Lepisosteus oculatus: one gene and its partner. The protein of the gene in region 2 purifies or fractionates together with the protein of the main gene of each other region. This does not show direct contact. Links are inferred from orthologs where the notes say so. Each region holds a gene or a part of one and is shown on either strand. Other genes may lie near its edges.

Region 1 (10,612 bases), on a different chromosome or scaffold from region 2:
GTTACAACCTCAAGTTCTCTTCAGCTTTGATTTCAGCTGGACTATTAAACATTTTTTTCCCCCACTACGGTAGGGAGTTTTGGCTTAGACATCACACATGATGTGCTGCGAGACAAAAAAGGTACATGAGAGACTCCTCTGCTCGAGTGATACACAAGTAATTCTAATTCCAACCACTACACAACCTCTACTCTACTCCTCCAACAGCTATAAATAATAGCACTAAATAGTGTTGCAACCACTACAACAGTGGCGCAGTCTGGCACACAGCCCTGAATACTCACACTAATCCGGCATTCTTCTGGAGTTTCTTCTTCAGCCACACAAACTCGCTGTATCGCCGGCGCACACAGGAGGTCTTGGCGGTGAAGGCCTTGCTGTTGGTCTGCGGAGATTAAGTCACAGTGAAGGGACGCTGATTTAGTGCCGAGTGAAATCTCTCTCTCCCTCTCTCTCTCTCTCCAGGGGCTGAGATCTCTTCAGTGGCCTCTGGGGCGGGTCCGTTTTGGCAAGGGGGGGAGGCACAGATGGGAGATCAGTGCTCTCTAGTCCTCGGCAGACACGCGTGTGGTGCATCTGGGCGTCGGAACACTCTTAGCAGCTGCCTGCTTGGTTTGCACGCCTTTAATTCCTCGGGCTGCAACTTGGATTGGCTGTCCGTCCCTCAGGAAAAGCCGGGCGACCCCATTTAAACAGGACAGAATGTCTTTGGACCACGGGAGAAAACTGGAGCCCCCAGAGAAAACCCACACAAACACAGGGAGAACAAGCACGCTCTCAGAATCGAACCTAGGACCCAAGAGCTGTGAGGCAGCTGCGCCAATAATTTTATAGAAATAATAATCATAGAGCAACACAGAAACTAAACAAGGCTCCTTCCCTTTTAAACTCCTTACAAGAGTTTAAAAGCAGCTCAACTGAGCCACACAACAGCTTTAAAATATTTAACGCTTTTTAACCCAGATGATACAGTACAAGTAGGAAACCAAACAATAAACAGGAGAGCCTGAGATCTGCAGGTTGCACTCTTTAGGAAGTGAAATGTCAGTGTCTGAACGGGGTTTACAGACGACCCACCAGTGAGTCTCGCAGTCGAAGCACCGTCTCTCACCAGCGACCACAAACCAGGCTGTGCACATCCTCCCTCGCTCCAGTCGCTGTTGCGTGCTCCAGCACAAATGTGCCTCTCTACAGACAGAACCGGCCCGCCAGCCTCTGCCCAGGCAAAAGAGTCTCCTCACTGAGCAAGTTCCTCTTGCTGAAGAAGCCATCAATTATTATCTAGGGAGAGCGGACGAGCTGCTGTTTGGAGGCAGCAGGAAGCGAGATGTGGAATCTGAGTTTTGTGGAAAGTCCCAAAGTTCCTTAGGACCGTAAGGTACTTCACATGGAAAAGTGCCCGTTTTAAAGGGAAGAGTGTCTGTCAAGCTACATATATTCTGATGTCGCAGCACAGCCTCTCTGTTGCTCACGAGGTGAAATTTGCTTGATTTCTGCCCTAAAGCGGAACCATCACTGCTTCCTGAGCGGGCTGACACTGGTCAGCACCCTGTGTAGTGTGAGAACAAGACAGGGCCGGCTTCCTTGCTGCTGTTTGATACGGGCTGCAGTTTAGGTCAGCTAGACTCTAGGTCATTGTGCCCACCCAGGGCACAGAGCAGTAGGTTTTCACAATCTCTTTGTATCACTGACCCTTTCAGAACAGGGAAAAGGCAGAGAAACTGGCGCAGATGGCTCTGGGCCTCTCAGAGCTGAGCTGGAGTAGACGCTTGCATTCGCAGTTGAAGGATTTTTTTAATTTATCTTTTATATAACACAGCGCTAATCTAAAAAATATTGCAATCATAACACTTCTGCCTATAATCTAAGCCCCAGTGACCTTGCATCTGTAAAAAGCTTGTGTTTAAAATGCTTCTTTTGTTAACAATATATTCTTGTGATTCTCACATAATGTGCACACTGCGGGCAGCTACAAATTCAGGTTTTGATCACAGGAAGGCAAGAGAGGGCTGTCACCCAGCTGCTGGAAACGGGGGCTGTGTGGGAGTGAGGATTGTAACTTCTCTAATCTGGCTGTAAAGAGAGCTCTGCCAAGGGAAACAGGGAGAGAAAGAAAAAGGAGACAAAAGCCTTTTGTTCCTCGCATGCTGCTGGATGGCGCCTGAACTGCAGCTGAAATGAAGGCCTGATCATCGCTTCTGCTCTGTAGCCCGGACTCTGATTCTTTCCCCGGTCTTCTGAAGAGGGGTTATCCTCACCCATCTGCCTCCACAGTGACACAGACCAATACTGCCCCAAGGGGTGAGTCTGCAGTGCTCCCATCCCTTTGAAAATAGCCTCTCCCACTGGGCTACTTTACTACCCAAGTTAAGAGGTTTAAAGCAAAGTCCAGATCACTGGATACTGCGAATTAAAGGAGAAAACGGTCTTAGGACCATTCCCCCTATTAACAGCTAATCCTTCCTCATGAAGGCCCGGTCAGGAGACAGCGATCCCCACACTCAGCCTGGAGCTGGCCTCAAGACATACTGACCCCTTCCAGTGCATCCAGTGACAGGACTCTGGCCAAACTACAGCGGCGTTTGTCTGCAGACTCACTTCTCCATGGAATTAAAGTTCTCGCAGGAGGTCCCAGCCGAGACACTTTAAACAGCGGAATTCAGACACGTCTGGAACTGTAGAGGCGGTACCTACGTGGAGGAATATTTTGAAGTCCACATAGGAGTTCCAGGATCCCTCGTTCTGTATTTTTGGATCCTGGACCCTCACAGCGATGAACTCCTGCACGGGAGACACAGCAGAGCGGAGAGGGAGGGGGCTTGGGTCAGGCAGCTTCCGATAAAAGTCAACTTTCCCCTTGAATACGGTCAAGAGAAATTGTTCAGACAAGTTGGAAGTGCTGATCAAGGTATGATCAATACTGCAGCAGACACAGGACACTCACGGACCAAGTAACAAGGACCAGGAAGATGAGGTGTGTGAAACAGCCAGCAAACACAAAGCAGTGCCTAAGGATGGAGAAGATGGGTGGAGCTTGGGCCCCTGACCTGGTCTAGCTGTACAGTTTCAGTTACCGGAAATAAAGACATTTTCTTACGTCTTCCTCCTGATTTCTGATCATTCTAATCCTTGGGCTCCTCCTTCAATATCATTGGGCAAAAACAGGCAGCAACATGGAGGTCACAGAATTCTGGGAAGAAAAGAAACACCCTGGGCTGAATCCTGAGATATCACAACGAGACAACCTGTCTTGACCTTAATGTTTCCTCTTATTGCTTTCTGAAACTGCTAACTTGCCCAAGATATCAATGTTTGCTGACACCTCTATTTCCAACTTGGGGAAGAGGAATTTAGATATTCATAACTCATAACAAAATATAATTGTATTTTTTCTAGGTTTCTTTTGGGTTTATTCTTTTTTTTTTTAAAAGAAACTTTTTTTTTCCTTCTGCACGACTTCTCCGGTAGGACTGATTCCCCCGATGGGAGAGATTCCCGCCGGACGCAGACCCAGACGGAAGAAGGTGTGAGGCAGACACCGTTCTCCTCTTCAGCACAGTCGCTGTGGTGCCACTCTGTCCTGCATCTGGCCTCTGTCTCAAAGACAACCTGTCCTCCACCGACCCCCACAGTGCAGAACCTTCTAGGCAGCCTGCCCTCACCAACACAGGCCCAGAACAATTCGACAAGGAGAAAAACCACAAGAAACAACTCTGCCGGAGTAAGTCCAAATGACTTTTCCCCCTTCTTTATCACACTGCTCGGTCTCTGTCAGAAAGGTCAGGACCAAATACGAAACACCCTGCATTTTTAACAGGTTGGTCCCACAGGGTTTCAAATATTTCATAATGAAGACTGTCGACTCTAGTTATACTCACAGTACGTTTCTTTAACTCGGTCTCCAACAGTGGCATTGCTCCCTACACTCTTTGACTCTGTGTGAGAGCTGGGAGACTGTGAATTCACATCTCTGCTCCTGTTCCCAGCTGGTCACTGTGCTGTGCAGTGTCACCTGCGCCTAGTGTCTTCTGCTAAAACACAGGCATGACAGGAAGGAGAGAGATTTACAGAGAACTATTATTATTATTATTATTATTATTATTATTATTATTATTATTATTATTATTTGTAGAGTAAAAATCCACCACAGACCTTGTTGTCGAGCAGAAGAGGAGTTTATTGTATATTTGGCCAAAGAGAGGAAGAATTAGGAAGATAGTTCTAACACGAAAAGTTACAGCTGACCTTTTATACACTTACTTGATAAAGAATACAAAGAGCTTAAGTCTCGAAAAGAAAAAAAATACTTCAATCTTAGTTAATTTCTATTTGTTATGCAAACTTCTACTTTAATCAGAAGTTGTCTACGTAATTAAGCTATCAGTGTTTTCTAAAAGCATGTAGTTACAATTGGCCTTCTTCACAAAAATAATTCCTTGGGATTTTTAAAACATGCTTTTTGTCGGCAGGCCCCTGGTCTTATCAACAGCAGATACATTTAATGTCGCAGCTGGTGCTTTGCTGAACATGCTGTCCAGAGAAAGACTTTTTAACCCTTCAATTATTATTATTATTATCATCATCATCATCATCATCGACGAGACGTTGAACAAGTACGAAAGAACAGACCTGACTCAGCATTGAGAATACCAGCACCTGTTATTGGACTTATTTGCACCTTAAAAACGGGGATGATTATTGAACCACAATATCAATGCCCTTCGACAAAACTAACGTACAAGCAAAGCAAAGATATCCCACAACAACAGCGCTCAAATGACCACGCGTGTTCATAGTGAGGAGCAGTTACAGTCACCAGTAAGAGGTTATTGCCACTGGTTACAGGAATAAGCTACAGAATACAAATTCCTCGTCTGTTTTTTTTTTTCTGAAAGTACGCTAAAGTACGTTATATCACAATGCTTTAATTGTGATTAGAAAAACCCCATACCTTCTGTTGAAGCTCCCTTGTTACTCACTGCCGTGGCCTGTCGTCAAAGTTGGAGACACGGAACTCTTCTGCTCTGTCCTTTCATGGGCGATGCGATTTGTTTTTCTCCGGCAGTGACGCGCGGTGGCTCCTTGGGAGTTGTAGTTTTCTCTACTTTTTATGCCTATTTAATGTTAGCGCTGTAGTGTCCTAGACAGGATGCAACTTCCATTCCGATTGGGACTTTGGGAACGTTAGCCACAGTCGCCGTCACGTTTACGTATACACAGCTCTCGTTCGTCTGTTTTTTGAAGACGTGCTGTCGATATAAAAAAGATCAGATGCAGACGTCGCGCTGCCGATGTTCTGGGTGCGAATTTATCGACCTCATTGACTTTACCACCGGCTTGCGAACAAAAGAAATGAGTGCTCTCAGCCTGCCAGTCCTGAATCACACCGACACTATCCAACCTCGGGGCAGCACAGCTAAAACACCCCAGATCAGAGTCAGCCCAATCGCAGTGCAAAGACCTCATCCCCTGGGGGGCGCACACACACAAACAGCACAACACAAACGTGACTTGATCCTAAAAGGACAGTGCACGCTGGACAGGTGAGTGACCACACGGTGAAACAGACCCTGACGGAGGCCAGCCTCAGTGTCCACAGCCTGCCCATAGAAACTGAGTGACACAGAGAGCATGAAAAACTGGAGACAGAGGTACACTTTCTGATACACTGGAAGAAATTACTCAATTCTGCCACAGGAAAAGACATAAAACCCACAAATTTCCGCACCTGCCAGAATCAGACCAACTTCCTATCCTACTTCAGGGGAGGGGAAACTCAATAGAGCTACAGTCCAGTATCTGATCTTCGGTCAGTGCCTGAGGGACAGAGTGGGCCTCTCGAGTAATATTATCTCATTGTCCTGAATGCTTGTCAATATTTACCAACGGTTATTGCTTTCGGAAGCATTGTATTTCGCCGGTCATGCCAATAAAGCTCTTTGAATTTGAAGAAGGGGGGAATGCCTTGTTAGAAAAATAAACTACACTTCCCGGCCCCCTTCACCTCCCAGGCCCGCCGGGGCGCCTGCGCAGTGCGTGGCGCGAGGTGGCGGGTCGATGAGGCTGTGGGTGCCTTTTGTGTCGAGAATAGAGGGAGAGAAAAACAGGGAGACGTGAATTTTGAACTTCTTATTTTAAAAAAATAATCGCAGGTTCTGCAGACACGTTGGGCCGGAGATAACGACGAGGGCCGAGTGGTTCAAAATCGCAGTAACTTTTTTTTTTTAATTCTCTTTTTACCCGAGCATCGCTTTTCTTCTGCTGAAAGGTAGGTTTGCGTTTTCTGCTCCTTGAGGCTGGCGCTGGTGCGTGCCCTAGCGACACACGGGAATTGCAGACGCACGGGGCTCATGCCTTCTGCAGGACCCGTGCAATTGTGTGTGCGAGTGCGTGACGCAGTTTCATCCCGTGGGTCGCTTGCCCACGGCTTTGTGCGGCCGGGGAGCCCTGCACGCCGCCTCCTCCCCCCCTCCCCTGCCAGCGCTGGGGTTTCTGTCGCGATCGGGGAGCAACATGGAGGAAGGAGGCGGGTAGCCAGCTAGAGCTGCACGGCGGACGGGCTGTAGCAACCCGAGCGCCTCAGCGCCCAGCCGCTCGGCAGACGCCCACCGCGGGCGGAGGGGAAGCGCGCACTTCGAGAGCGTAATGGCCTCCGTGCGCGGACAACATCGGGGTTTGCTCCCCGGGCGTCTGAGGGTTTCGAAACGGGGAGGGATTGCTCGAATTTGCTCGACTCCCCGCCCTCGCCCAGTCCCCTCTTCCTCCGATCTCGGTTCTGCCAGCCTGCAGCCAAGCCGGAGTTTGAGTTCGTGAGTCCCCGTGGGTGCTATATTTCTTCTTTTTTTGTTGTTCTTGCGAAGATCTGATTATGCAAGCCGGTGGCTTTATTTTGCACGGACTGCTAATTCAAATCGGGCTGCGCTCTGCTGAGCATTTAACGGCGCTTCGTAACCGCAGCGCTTGCGCGACAAGGATTCACCCTCCTGCCTCAGACCCGTCCTATTAAGTGCCGAGCAAAGCTTTTTTTTTTAAAGCAAACTTCTTTTCGCTAGATCGGTAAATTGCAGCGTAGGTGGGCTTTCTTAATTCTTAGTTTCGTGTACCAAGTTACTATTCAAAGCGCTGTAAGGTTATTTGGGATGCAAAGCGCTTCAGAATTGCAAGGATATTTTTGCAGTTGACAAGTGATCTGATTTCCAGTGCGCTTAAGAACCATAGTCATTATTATTTCAGCGCTCGATGGTATCGCTGGGCAGAAAGGTTTTTTGTGATGCTCGTAGTAGAGTGAAATAGTGTTATTGTGCTGCAGGAATTCTCACGCACTGTAACTAAAAGCATGTTTGACTGTCAGGTGAAAATGTACACGCCAGAGTCTCTCTCAGAGACTGATTTTCTGCATTTCTTAGTTCCGATGTGTTGTATTTCTGTCTCTTCAGTGCTGCGGCAGAGGTAGTTTTGTGGCACCGCGGTAAGTTAATCTGACACCTCCTGAAGCTGCCGGCTGGCCTTTGAGCCACAACACCAGTCTATTCATGTTGCATTCCGATGCCCTCAAGCTGTGAAAGACCTTTCTGAAAACCGCCTCTAACACAATCCTGCAGTTGTTTAATTGACGATACAGGTAGATATACTGGGAGCTGGGTCTGAGATGTGTGTCCTAATGTCTTGGCCAGAAGATAAGAGAGAGCTTCATTCTGGGCTGAAAGGAGACGCGAGGTTTTGGCTGACAGGGAGAAACGTTGTGTCTTTATTCTTTTCCTTTCAGCCCAGAATCAATCTTCACCTGTTCCTTAGTGGCCTGTGCATGTTGAGGCAGCTCCCCACTCGGAGGTCTGTGCCAAGAGCGTTTATTTCCTGGAGCCACCAGTAAACATTAAAGAATCAGAAAAGCAGCAGCCTTTTTCATCAGAACTGAGAGCCCAGCGGTGGTCTGGGCCTCTCAAACTGGGAAAGAGGGCTTGGTGCCCCAGTAGATACCCCGGGCAGCCATGGGTGTCCCCAGGGGGCCTGGGTGACTTTTAACTGGTCAAACCCGGTTGCCAAGGTGACATCAACTGGCCACTTTGGGTTAGTTTCCCTAGCGATTTTGCCCCGTTTTGGATGGTGGTGCAGTACCAGTTCATGGCCTGCCCTTGCGCTGGCAGGGAGGACTGGGCGAGGGGACCCCACACACCCCCTCTTCTTCCGGACCCCCGGCTGTGGGGGGGGCGCAGATGGGGCTCAGCTAGCCGACTGGGGTTCCCTGCGTGATGCTGAAAAACACACGCCCCTGCTTGCGCTGTCACCTGGAAAAAGATACCTTGCATCTGGGAGTCTCAAAGAGTGTGTGACTGTGATGATGATGATGATGATGATGAAGAGCTGAGCGCGTGTGCGTGCTGTCAGGCCAGGCGCTGCTGTGAGAACTGTTACGTTGCCGCACGGAAGCGAGGGAGACCCTTGGGGTGGGGCGCAGGGTGCCGACTCAGTCCTGCGGAGCCCCACCAGCGCGGGTTCTGTGCGCCCGGGTCTGGGGGGCTGCGCGGGCCCACCCTGCCCTGCCCTGTGGTCTCGCCCGCCTCCCTGCGGTGCCATGTGTTTTTTTTAAACCGCTGTGATTTCTTTTCGTGCTTCATGATCCCCCCTGCCCCCCCCCCCCCTCACTCTTTCACCCTGTTTAGCTTCTGTTGACGTTGAGAAGGATCCAGGTCGTTAGACAGACAGACTCTTCCTCCAGGAGTATGAGTCAGCCTTCAGCTCCCTGTAATGACGCTCCCACTAATAAAGCAGGTCACAGACACCTTTCTTCTATGCCAAGTCTACCAGTGTCTTGTCTTCTGAATGTGGGGGGGGCGGCCGGGGGGCTTTGGGAGGAGTAGCTGGAGTTTTTTTGAAAGGAGTACTGCTGTTCAGTTCAAAGCATTTTGGGACCATGTTTGCAAAAAGCTTTGCATGGGGAGCGTTCTGGCGCACTATGGCTGCCGTCGCATCATCCAGGTGGGGCTGCACACTGGTGGTGGTGGAGGGGATCCCCATTACCTGTAAAGCGCTTTGAGTGGAGTGTCCAGAAAAGCGCTATATAAGTGTAAGCAATTATTATTATTATTATTATTATTATTATTATTATGAGAAGTCGGGGGGAAGAAGGCTCTAGGGGACCTATCCTGCTCGAGGAGCAGACTGCATGGCCTGCTGGGCACTGCAGCTGGGGGTCTCAGGGGTTGGCCCTCCCCCCCCCCCCCGGCAGAGCTGAGGCAGCGATCCGCCCCAGAGGGACCTCCAGCATGATTCGGTCCACGCGCTCAGAGCCGCGGAGCCCTGGAGAGGCCAGAGGGAGTCTGGGATGTCCCCGCTGTCGGGTCGGGGTGTGTGGCTGACCCTGCGTCGCCTGGCCGCGGCCCAGCTCGGGCACGGGGGGGAGGGGGTGTTTTCAACTGAAACTGCGTGCAGAACTACTCCTTTGAAGAGAACAGCTACAGTGGCCCGAGCACAAAACTCGTGAAAGAGCCATTTCTATTTCTCTCCTTGTTGTTTTCGTGCTTTGTTCTGTATGGGAAGGTGCGAGGCATTGTTATAAATGTGTGGCTGTACTGACTTTTTTGTGTTCGTACCGCTTGAGAACTTGGTCTCCGATGGCTTTTTGTTCCTTTCCGAGTAGCAGGCTATGAGATCCAGTGCGCAGGGCCTTCCCCTGCCAGCTCCCTAGAGCTGGCCCTCTCGAATGAGAGCCCTGTGCTCCCCGTTGTGCTAAAGCAAGCAGCTGGAAACCACATGGTGGAAGTGGGGGAGTCCTGCTTAGTGGTGCATGTTCACCAGACCAGTTGCACTGCTGGCGATAATTACACATCCCTCCCCCTCCAGACTCCACTGTGCAGGCAGCCCTGGGCCTCCGGTGGCCTCCCTGGTTAAGGTGTGTGCGTGTTAGGATGGCTCTTGCTTCTTAGCTGCCAGGCGCCAGACAAGCCAGTGCAGATCAGTTCGGAAGAAGCATGGCGCCTGGACCCGACCGCCCCTGCAGAATTCCCCTCCTGCGCTTCAGAGCCTCGTTCAGCGTCTCTGCTGTCGGTTGGTTTTTTCGACCAGCGCTGTGTGCTGGCGCCTCTGCACACGGACCTGACTGCGCCCTGCGGGGCGGCACAGGGCAGGGTCCGGCACTCCGGGCGGAGAGACGCAGAGAGCCATCTGGGGACAGGGGGCATGGGTGTCATGCCAGCTGGCCTCCTGACCCCCCCCCCCCCCCCCCGCCTGCGATGTCTGTGCAGGAGCGAATACCAGGGGAGTTTCCCACACTGCTCTCCCCTGGCTCAAACACTGCGGTTCTGTCGAGCAGAATTTGCATTTCTTACAGCAAAAGAAAAGCTGCAATACTAATAGAAAGCCATACCAGAAGGGTAAAAAAGGCTTAAACCTCATTCCTGGTGTCCAAAACGGCAAGACAGGCCATGGAGGTGGAGGTCCAGGTCTCTGGGCTTATCCCTGTGCTGGAACGTCCCCTCACCCTCCACCCTCTTCTGAACGTCTGCCCTCAGAACAAGATGCTTCATGTCACTGTCTTGTCACTTTACACCTTGTTCTCAAAACCAAATGAGCGCATTCTAATGGGTGTGATTCCATAGCTCTTTTTGAAGTGACT
Region 2 (10,865 bases):
CTCCGCACGGGCTGCTGCTGCTCCATGTACTGTAAACATGATGGCTGCTGCGGGCTCTTCTGTATACACAGCAGCCCCGCCGCACTGTAAACACCACTTCATTCCTTCATACGCCCTCAGCCCCGTCGCCATGTCTGCTCCAAGACGCTGCGCGGCTCCCCCCTCCCCCACCCAGAGACACCAGAGCCGTGGGCGAGTGCTACCTTCTGACCCACCCTCCCTAATCCCAAACCCGGACACTAGATGGCGGGTTTCAATTAGCCGAGAGGTTCTTGTCTATCCCCCCCGTGAATATCCACAAAGAAGGACGGAATCAGGATTTATCAGCCAGGGTGCGCCCGTCCTCAGATTTAAGTTTCGATTTAATCCGAGATCTAATTATCCAGGATTCCATCAAGCGCATTTAATCTATTGTTAAGAGGAGCATCTCCCACCCCCCACCCCCACACACTCAGTGACGGTGCCCAGCTTTCCTGCAACATTTCTTTACCCTGTGGTATAAGCAGCCATCTGCATTAGCACATCGGGCTTCGAGTGACTCACGCAAGGCCCAGGCTCCCTTAACCCTATGGATGCGTCGCCGGTGGCTCCGAGTTTGGCCCTGTGTCACACTGAATCGCGCAAGGGGAGAAAACGCACACAGCACACGGCGCCTCGCAAGAGGAGACAAGAAGGGGGGGTGCACAGCACAGCACATCAACAAGTGAGGCTGCAGAGTCATGGATATCGAGATCCGCTTTCCACCTCGGCTCAAGGACGGCGCGCAAGGACGCCCCGGAGCCTGCTCGGGGTGACACGACGGGAGAGCCGCCGCCGCCGCCGCGGCCGAGCCAGGGACTTCCTGGTCCCGAGCCCTCCGATCCAGCCACCGGCCGCCCCCACTCCTGCCCTTCACAGCCAAGCAACGCCATTTCGATATCAGGCAACCCGGTGCCCTGTGGACACTCCCCCATCCTTCGCAAGCAGAGGTGCAGTACAGGATTTCAAGGGGGTGACTGGACACGTCATAATGAGCCTGGGATTCTCACCTCTGTCCCACTCGGTTTAAAGCACAGAAGTGAGGCTATTTTACAACAGGCAGCGGTGGGGAAAGTGGTGCGTAATTGCTCCTGTAATACAAGACTACTGCAGAAGTGAGGGCAAACTACACATTGATTAGAGACCAGCATATGCACAACAGAAGAGGTCACTTATAAGAGGGAATATATTTAAAAGCTCAAGAACTGTCATTAAGAAGCTAGAGCAAAAATACAATAGAACCAGATTATTCAGCTGGGCTGTTACTTTCTTATAGTTCATCATATTACAAAATGAAGGTACAGTACATGTACTGGGGGAGGGGGGGTTGGAGGAGATAACTTCAAGTCAAAGTACATCACAATAGGTGTATTAAGTGTATTGTATATTAAGCAATTTCAAGTGAAAAAAGCCAGAATAAGTGAGCTAGCTTTAGATCAGAAATCAACTCCAGACAAAAGTGGACTTTTATTAAGAGGGGACTACAAGTATCATAGGCATACAAATCCATAGTCAGAATACTAGACTGATTTTAAATGTACTTTTTTAAAGAATGTATCATGAACTGAGCCGACCTCTGTTACAGCTCTACCAATAACTAAACCTGCTACTTTATTTCACGTCTGATAAATCCGATTAGACCTAAATCTAAACCTAAAATAAAAACTAAGTTACCGTGCGAACATATAAAAATAAACTTAATAAAACATGACCTATATTTTCTCTTTCTGTAATGCGTACCCTCAAAACAAGTTAAATTTAAGTTCTCAAGGTACTACCCAGTAAAAAGAAATTTCCCTTTATGATTTTTTTTTTAAAAACAGACTTCCGTAGGAGTCAGGCTTCTGTCGGCGACAGGAAATAAGCAGGCCGCGGTCCCCAGCCTGCTTGCTGGCACACCGGCTTTCACGTAATAAATACGGAGAGAAGACCCAACTGCCCAACTAGTGCTACAAAAACTGTTCGAGTATGTTAGAATAGTTACTCTAAACGTATTTTCTCAATCCTCACACCCTATTCGCTCATGATATGCAAGATTTTGTTCTTAGTTGTTTCACTTTAAGACGAGATCCACAGCGAGCGAAACAGGAACTCTTGACAATTACGTAACGCTTCCCAGATATTAACATTTTATTTCAAAGACTTTTTTTTTTAATCCTTGACTTACGCAGAAAGGATACTTAAAATCCACAAAATCGGATAAGGTGGTTTAAGAGCAAATTTTCCATGTATCCTTCTTCCGGTGTGCTCACACACACTGCTGACTACATAAAGGGGGATTACAAAATAAAACGATAAAGTTCTTACATCAGTTTTGGGCAATTCGGTATTTTCAGGCCGATTACATTTTTGCAAAAATCAGGAAATTCATTAAAAAAAACTCTGTTCCCTGTTAACCGACTCCCACACGTGAAGACACAGTAGGCCCCTAGTCTAAAAAATGCCGGTTCAATTGCAAACCGGCATTTCCTATTTACAGTGCAATTCTTCAGCCGTAACAACAAACAAGTACAAATTATCACTGCAAACACACGCACACATATATAAACACACAAACACGAGCGAGACTATAAAATAACTAGCCCAGGAAAATCTGAACGAGATGTTTTAATGCATCCGGGTGGCATTTTGTTCCATCACTCAATGTACAAACTTTTGCGATCCAGTTTTCTCTCTTTTTTTTAAAAAAAAAGACAGTAAAACGCACATCCCACGATAAAAGAACGTATTAAAACGCAGACCTAAAAAAACAAATACCGATGACAAACGCAGACACGCAGGCCCCCGTCACCCACTCACCAACCCCCCCAAAAAGGAAATTAAAGAACGAGACGCTCCTGTCCTCGGTTAAAATGTTTGAAGCGGTAACATAACTCCCAAAATAGACGATCGAGTCTAAAAAAGACTAGTCTAGTGCACTATCTTTAAATACTCTGTAAAGACAGCTCCATTTCACGTGTGCTGCGTTAGGTTAGACATGCGAGTACAGCCAAAATATTTCAGTTACCTTGCAAAAGCGAGCGGTCGTCCAAGCTTCCGAAATCCTGTCCCTCGTCTTCACTCCCGGACATTTTGTGCTAAATGGTTTTCCTATAAATATATCTGAAAGTGAGTTTGTGTGTGTGTGTATGTGTGTGTGTGTCGGTACCGGGGAGGGAATTATCGAGGGAGGGGGTGGTAATGGTTGGAGGGGGTTGGAGGGAGCCGACGAGCCGATGATGAAAAAGCCCTTCTTTGTTATTTTACGAGAAAAAGAGTCACACAGTGCATAAACCCGGTCTTCGTAGAAATTTCTCCGCTACCGGCAATACCAGCGAGAAGGACCGAGTTTGTATCCCAAACTAGAATCGATGCTCCTCACACACACACTACTGAAACCAGGGGGGGGGGGCGCCGCCAAACTCAACGTTAAAAGGATATAAACTCTCCGGAAAAGAAAAACTGTCGATGTTTTCAGTTAGATGTCTAAACTGCAATACTAGTACTATACCGGCTTCTGGAAAGTGGCCGGCAGCGAAGTAAAGTGAGCTGGGAGTTGCATACAAAATAATAAGTATTCCGGATAAAAGGGTCAAAGTTGGCGTTCAGCGGTCTCCTCTTGAATGTCCCCCCCTTTATACAAAGAAGACAACCGACGTGTCGGAGTAGAAATGTCCGACTCAGGAGGGTTGTATAATCCCGAGTTGTGCCAGGTTACGAGTAACCCCAAACAAAAAGAGCGATTACACGAGGGGAGTTCAACAACGATTTCCTTGCCGGCTCAGGAGCGAAGACAGCTTCTTCGAAGAGGCGACTGATTTCCGTGGGTATTTCGGGCACGACAAAATGTCTGGTCCAGTCCGGCCGCACAGTCATCCGCACACACTCGCCCTCTCCCTCTCACACACACAAAGAGACCGGGGCAAACCGAAAAGCGAGAGAGAGGCAGGCATCCCATAATAATAATCCTGTACACCCCCCCCCCCCCACTCTATAATACACACTAACACTCCACACGCAGTTACCCCAGCAACGGACAGACCATAATACTCCATCCCATGTATATACACACGCACGCAAGACACCCCCTGGGCTCTTCCGGCCCCTAGCAACCGCCGTTGCCGTGGAGACGGTCGCGCCCCCCCCCTTCCGTGCCGACGGCCATCCCATAATACCCGGGCTCCACTTCGCGGATCACCCATCCCATAATATGCATATCTCCAAAAAATTATCAGTCGCCTGGTCGCCCAGGCAACCCAGGCCACAAATGACAGGCCATAATACTCTCCTACTGTACAATGTGTGCACACGCACTGTACATGCTCGGCACACACCAGCTACACAGGCCGATTCAGACGGCACACACGTGTGCACGCTGCTCTCATGCAGACTGTGCGCACACACACGGAGTTTGCACAGCCTTACAGTCTGCTGGTTTCCATAGAGACCCCTGACATTGTGAGGTCCCAGCGACAGCCTGACAGGGTGTCAGTCGGTGTGTACAGAGCACTGTCAGTGTGCTGTAGAGCTGTGCTCATGTCCCCATACCTGCTCATCGCAAAACAGAGGTCTCACATGTTCAGATAATCTCCACCTCCAAACACAGGCACAGTCAAAACATCCAGTGTCCCCATGACATAAACAGTACAAGCCTGAGTTAGGCCTCACAAGAGACACAAGGCCTAAAATCTACCACTCTGCAGTGCTGCTGTGTTTGAGTCTGCTCCCTTTCTGTGCTTGTGGGCATGTGGCATTACCTACTCTTTGTGCCCGGGCTGCTTAATTTCATATGGCAGTACTGTGTAATAATAACAACAACACAGACTAGACTCCATTCCTCTCTCTCTTTGTTGCTATAGAGATTTTTTTACAGGGGGGGTGTCATCCCATAATGACCAATCAGGAGAGAGAAAAGTGAGGGGGAGGGTTGGTTGTCATGGAAGCAACCCCCCCCCCTCATTACCTTCCCCCCTTTAGATATCCCATAATACTAATAGTAACATCCAGACCCAACTACACCCCATAATAATAAACCATAGGCATGGGTGCTAAAGTGTGTGTGTACTTGAGGGGGACATGTTAGGATGACTGATGTGCTACCCGGTTGCCATGGAAGCTGACTGACAGACCATAATTAGCACCTGACAACCTCCCACCTCACTGGACAGCCCATAATATTCACCCTGACAGCTGAAAATCCTGAGAGAGCATCGCCAGGGGATACAGGGAGGATAGTGGCTAAGGAGACTACAGCAGACAGATGGACCAACAGATGCAAAGCCACAGACTGACATCAAGAAACACAGACAGGCAGACAGAGAGACAGGCACAAGAAGAGGTTAATTCCACCTTCCCTGCTCTAACCTTCACAGAGGGGCTTATACGCACCTGGTGTACTGATATAAACAGGCCGAGTGAAACACCCACAGGACATGCATGAACACATAGAAACAGAGGCGGACAGGCTGAGGAACACACAGGCAGAAAACCAGAAACAGACAGTCGCACGCAGACATTGTTTCAGACAATTACATGCAAATTCTCTGCCAAAAATAGCTCAAAACACAAATTAAATTCAGGCACAGCATTAGGCAAAGCTATTATTGTTTGATACTGTACACTCTGCATACTGTAACAGAGCAGAACAGTACTGTTACGCAGTGAGTACAGTACAGCACAGCACTGGGAATGCATAATGTAGCAATAAAGTTATTTCACAATCGCCTTTGCTTACAGCTCGAAAAAGTGTGATAGACAGTGGTGGAATACAGCATTTTCAGCAATGCGAAACCCGTAAGATCACATTAGACCACGGTTGGCCAGTGGGTAAACCTGCCATCCCGGGACCCGAGACCTGTGCAGGAGAAGATACTTTATTGTCCACTACGGTGGTGGTGTCTCGCAGAGCCGTGGGATGTGGAAGCTGGCCTGCAGTGGGCCAACGCACTGACACGCTCCCAGAATGGGCGATGCCCTGACCGTCGCTCACTCCTTCCCCAGCCGAGTGACACTCCCGACTGCGGAGTGTTTTTTTTTGTGCTGTACAATACTTTCTTTTTATTTCTTTCAATCCCTGGCCCCATTCGACCCGGCGTGCACGTGCCTCGTCCAGGAATGTCCCAGGAATGTTCTGTGAGTCTAGGTGCTCCGTGAACACGTGTGGTACGCCCGATCCCCCATCACCAGGATCGACGGGGTTCTGGGGTGCCTTCCGTGAAACCTGCAATCAGAATGTTCTGGATTCGGGGGAGGTGCTGCACCTGACAACAGCGAGCAGCTGGAGCGGCGCTCGCACTGCGCGCGGCCGCAGACGAGCAGAGAGAGGCCCGAAGCAGTGCGAACTCTTTCTCAGGATGCGTTCCTCTAATGACCCTGGGGGGCCTCTCTTCCCGCCCTTCAAATTCTCCCTCTCAACCTCCCCCACCTCCCCCTCCACCCCCCCCCCGCCAACCCTCCTCGGCCAGCAGCCTGTGGGACACAGAGGCTGCCCGCACACATCCCATAATTTCCCAGCTCCCCCTCCCCCCTCCCTCCAGCTCCGCGCACAGCCCATAATAGTCCGGCCCTGCCCTCCCTCTCCCCCCCCCCCCCACACATCCCATAATAACCGGTCTGCTCACACACCACCCACACCAACACAGTTCCAGAGAGAGCGTCTGTGTGTGTGTATACAGTGTGGGTCTGTGTCTGTACGGCTAAGCAAACAGACACCGTTTTCCCCAAAGCGCACTGCTCTCTGCGGTCCGACGGCCACTGGCGCAGACAGGCAGAAAGTCAGCAGCCTCTCTGGGAGACAGGGCAGAATGTGCAGAGCTGCGCTGGTGGCTGCAGAAGCTGTCCACATTGACGTCACACGCTAAAGAGCTCTGACCAGTCCACATCTGAGCGGACGCCGGCTCTCCTGGACCCCGATCCCCATCCAGGAAATCTCCCGGTAATCCGGTCCAGGGGGGGCACCTTTCATCCAGAGACTCTCAGGGCCCCCGGCTGCAGGTCCGCAGACTGGGAATGTGGCCGGCGTCCAGTGGGGCAAGGGAACGGTGATCACCCGGAGCCGTTGGAATTTCAAAAGCACCTTCTACCCTCCCCACCCCCGAGGGAGTGGAAAATGGGACATTTTCACAGCTTTCGAAAGAACCTCAAGAGCTTGCGGGCCCGAGCTCTCCCCTGCCGGGTCCTGCGCTTGGTGCCGCTGTCCCGCTGTCCCGCTGCCTCTGCGGCGGAGTCTGAGCAGGCGGCCCGTCTGTCAGGCTGTCCTGTCTTCCCGCTGCTCCGCCACCTGAGCTCAAAGAAAACTCACCCCCATCCTACAGGGCTGCACTGTTGGTTTTAATATCATAATAATAATAATAATAATAATAATAATAATAATAATAATAATAAGTACAAGTAGGGAGCTGCGTCACCATGCGTAGACTGCAAAGGAACAGGTAACAGGTTTACTCCAGGCTGAAAAGAGAAGAAAGGAAACACAATGTTTCGTCTGTGGGGCCTTCTTCCAGTGTATTATTATAATAATAATAATAAAACACAGAATTGGTGTCCCATTAATGGCGTATCCTTCTTTTTGCCCATGACTTGCTCATTGAGGCTCCAGCTCCCTGTAATTCTGGATAAAGCAGTTCAGAGGCTGTTGAATAAGAATAAGAATAAGAACTGTTAGGGAGGGTTCTACAAATATCTAATATATCTGACCGAATTAAAAAATGTTTGAAATAATAATACATTAATAATAATAATAATATACGCGGGGCTATACAATGGGTTTAAAGTAAATAATCATCATGCAGGGTTAAAAAGTTTGTTCAATATAATAAAACAATGAGAGAAATCACAGCAGGCTATGCTGTTGGCTGACAGGGTAAAAACTATGCAGAACCGGGCAGGTCAGGGATCTGAGCCGTTTCTGTACAGGGGAGGGCTGTGCTTTCCTCTGCTGGAGGGTGACATCAGCACTGCACACTGGAACGCCGGTCTCCCACTACTGCTACTGCTGCGGCTCACACACACTCACGCGCGCGCGCACGCACACACACACACACTCTCGCGCGTGCACACCGCATCCCATAATAAGCCCGCTCTGCTGGGTGTGACCAGACAAAGGCCATCCCATAATAAGCCAGGACCCAAACGCATCCCATAATAGTTGGAGCGCTGCTAAGTGACTGATGGAGTCAAAAGAGGAACGTGGGGGTGTGTGCGTCACACAATTATGCTAAGTATGAAAATGATGCAGCAATTCTTACACTACATGTATTTTTACTGTAGAGGTGTATAAAGTTTCTCTGTCTCTCCTCTTCGAACAGTGATAGTTACTTCCTCTCACCTGTCTTTCTGAGATTCTACATTCATGTCAATCTATTGAGTTGTCTGTGAGACTGTTAATGGTCCAGGATGGTACTGTACATCAGTCGGTGTGTCTGTCTGTCCCATTCTGTCTATCTTCTTGTCTATATCTGCCTCTGTTCCCACATTGTCTCTCCATTCATCGCTTTCTGTCTGAACCTTTGAGATTCTGTCCGTCTCTCTTTGCTCAGAATGTAAGGAAGCTTGACAGTGAGTGGTAAGTGTGCCCATCTGTCCCATCTGGTAATAGCCTTATCTGATCCAAGAGCTCATGCTCTTATTGGCTTCAGCCCCATGTTTGTTCCACACCCCCACAACCCTTTGTGTAAAGTCCAGTCCTCTGCACCTTTTTTGTAATGCAATGCCCCTGTGTTTCCACTTTGTGTGCCCCTCCGGTTGGTGTTTTTCGCTGTTGATTCCTCTGGTTTCACTTTGGCAGTGCCTTTGAGCACTTTTTTGATACTGTTTGAATCAGCTCACCTCCGTTCGAAGCACAGAAAGATTCGGATCTTCTTGCCTGTCAGTGTAGGACACTCCTTCAATTCCCGGAATGTACCCAGTTGTGGTTCTGCAGGAATTTCTCTCCCTCTCTGTCTCTGTTCTCTCCACTTATCTGCTTGTAATGTGTGTCCGTATCTGGATGTGATAAAACCACAGCCCTGGTTCTTCAGAGCAGGGGTGTTACCCTGGATGTTCTGGCTAAATTTAATTCTGGGCTTGAATGATCTGGCCTCTCTACAGCACCCCCTTAAATCAACTTGTGAAGCCAGTTTCTCACTCCCCCAGCTGATCTGCTGTAAAGTGGCGCCGCTGGGATGCTCTTACGTGGGTACTGTACCTCAGTGCTGGGTGAAGTGTGTCTTCTCCCGTCCGTAAAGAGCTTTGCGAGGAAAAGCATTATATACTGTACATAAGCAAGGAACTTCTCATCATTTATGAACAGAACCTCCTCAGGCTGTGAAAAAGAAGACTCAGAGGGGACCTAACTGAAGATTTTAAAACCGCAAAAGGTATGAACGCCGGCTTCAATGGTGGAACAAGGCCATTTCTGTGCACCAAGGGTTGTGGGTGTCTGGCACAAGCTCCTGAGGCTTCCTGAGAAAGATTCTCGGGTTCCTTCAAGAACGGCCCAGGAGAGATGCTTGGATCTAGAAGTGAAATAAACAAAGGGTCTGCGATGTAAAAGAGAAAATTAAAACAAAAGATTCACAGGAGTTCTGTCTGCTGGGACTATTGGCTTTGTGTGTTTTCTTCTTCCGGGAAATGAAACCCTGTAAAAGGTCAAATTCCTCTCTTGACTCTCATTTAATATGGTTCACTGAAGATTCGGTGCAATTTCAGCTCTAGAAACTTTCCAGGTATGAACCTTTAAAAAAGGGATTTCACAAGCAGAGACAGAGCCTAGGGAGAGTGATGTGCAATGATGTTGGTGAAACCCTGTGTTTCTGAGCACCAGTGCCGAAGTTAGGACCCCAGCCTGCTTGGAGAACTACCAGCGGAGGTGAGATCTGAACCAGTGCTGTCGCAGGAACATTTCACACACAGAACAGGCCTCACTCTCTCTCTCTCCCTATCCCTCTGCCCCCCTCCCCCATATGCAAAGAGAGACAGGGAGGAGTCATTTCCAGAATGACTCCCATCTCATAATACTCCCCAGACGTCCGCAGTTACCAAGGGCAACGCTCTTGTAATGAGGTCAGCCGGCCAGCCCATAATAGTCTGCACCAACCACAACCTTCCCCCCCTCCCCGCCACCCCTCATCCTATCCTACCTACACACTGAAATCTATGCTCTGAATATACCGCAAGGCATACATGCAGACGTCATACGCATTCATGCTGTATGCACACACGAGTCTGGCCTAATAAAAGAGACGTCTCTGGAATTCCAATAGGGCACCCCAGTTACTTGACAGCACACAGTTACTAATGACAGAAGCATCTGGGAGAGACAGAAAGAGATCGAGGGGCTACAGAGGTGGCCTTTGCGACATACTAATCAGAATTGACCATGGCGAATTCGCACAGTCATTTGGCTCTCTGTGGTGGTTTGTTGGCACAGTGGGTAGCATTAATGCCCCCCTTCCATAGGGCCCTGGGTTCAATTGCTGGGGTGCTGTTGGTGTGGAGTTTGCATGTTCTCCCCTGTGTTTGAGTTTCCTCCCACAATCCCACAAAGACAAACTGGTAGGTTAACTGGTCTCTGGGAAAACTGGCCCTGGTGTGAGTGTGTGCCCTGTGATGATCGGGCGTCCTGTTTAGGGGTGCCTCCTGCCTTGCGCCCCCTTGCTTGCTGGGATAGGCTCTGGCTCCCCTCTGACCCAGAACTGGATAAAGCAGTTAGAAAATGGAAGGATGAGTTTTGCTTTTTCAAGAGGAGTTCTCTCTGCGTTTTCAACCATCAGTGAGCTTTCACTGGAATCTTTATCCGGTACAGGGTCACAGGAGAGCTGGAGCCTGTCTCAGCAAGCAAGAGGTACTGTACAATGTAGGATATATCCTGGACGAGACGCCAGTGACTC

Evidence for each region.
Region 1: the proteins of chd4b (region 2) and cbx1b purify together in Homo sapiens (affinity purification with mass spectrometry; 7 studies listed by BioGRID and IntAct, with this or other methods). This does not show direct contact. The link is inferred for Lepisosteus oculatus from reciprocal best matches to the Homo sapiens genes CHD4 and CBX1.

Annotation. Positions count from the first base shown.
Region 1 is NC_090723.1:9,004,159-9,014,770, reverse strand, and holds the start of cbx1b (chromobox protein homolog 1), read left to right. Parts: upstream 1-6,020; 5' UTR 6,021-6,268; intron 6,269-6,278; exon of another isoform or gene 6,279-6,819; intron 6,820-7,436; 5' UTR 7,437-7,621; intron 7,622-8,660; 5' UTR 8,661-8,720; coding exon 8,721-8,769; intron 8,770-10,612. Other genes in the region: sorting nexin-11, read right to left, coding at 285-385, 2,695-2,781, 3,098-3,121. UniProt on the Homo sapiens protein: Component of heterochromatin. Recognizes and binds histone H3 tails methylated at 'Lys-9', leading to epigenetic repression. Interaction with lamin B receptor (LBR) can contribute to the association of the heterochromatin with the inner nuclear membrane.
Region 2 is NC_090718.1:3,156,822-3,167,686, forward strand, and holds the start of chd4b (chromodomain-helicase-DNA-binding protein 4), read right to left. Parts: upstream 4,332-10,865; 5' UTR 3,090-4,331; coding exon 3,026-3,089; intron 1-3,025. UniProt on the Homo sapiens protein: ATP-dependent chromatin-remodeling factor that binds and distorts nucleosomal DNA. Acts as a component of the histone deacetylase NuRD complex which participates in the remodeling of chromatin.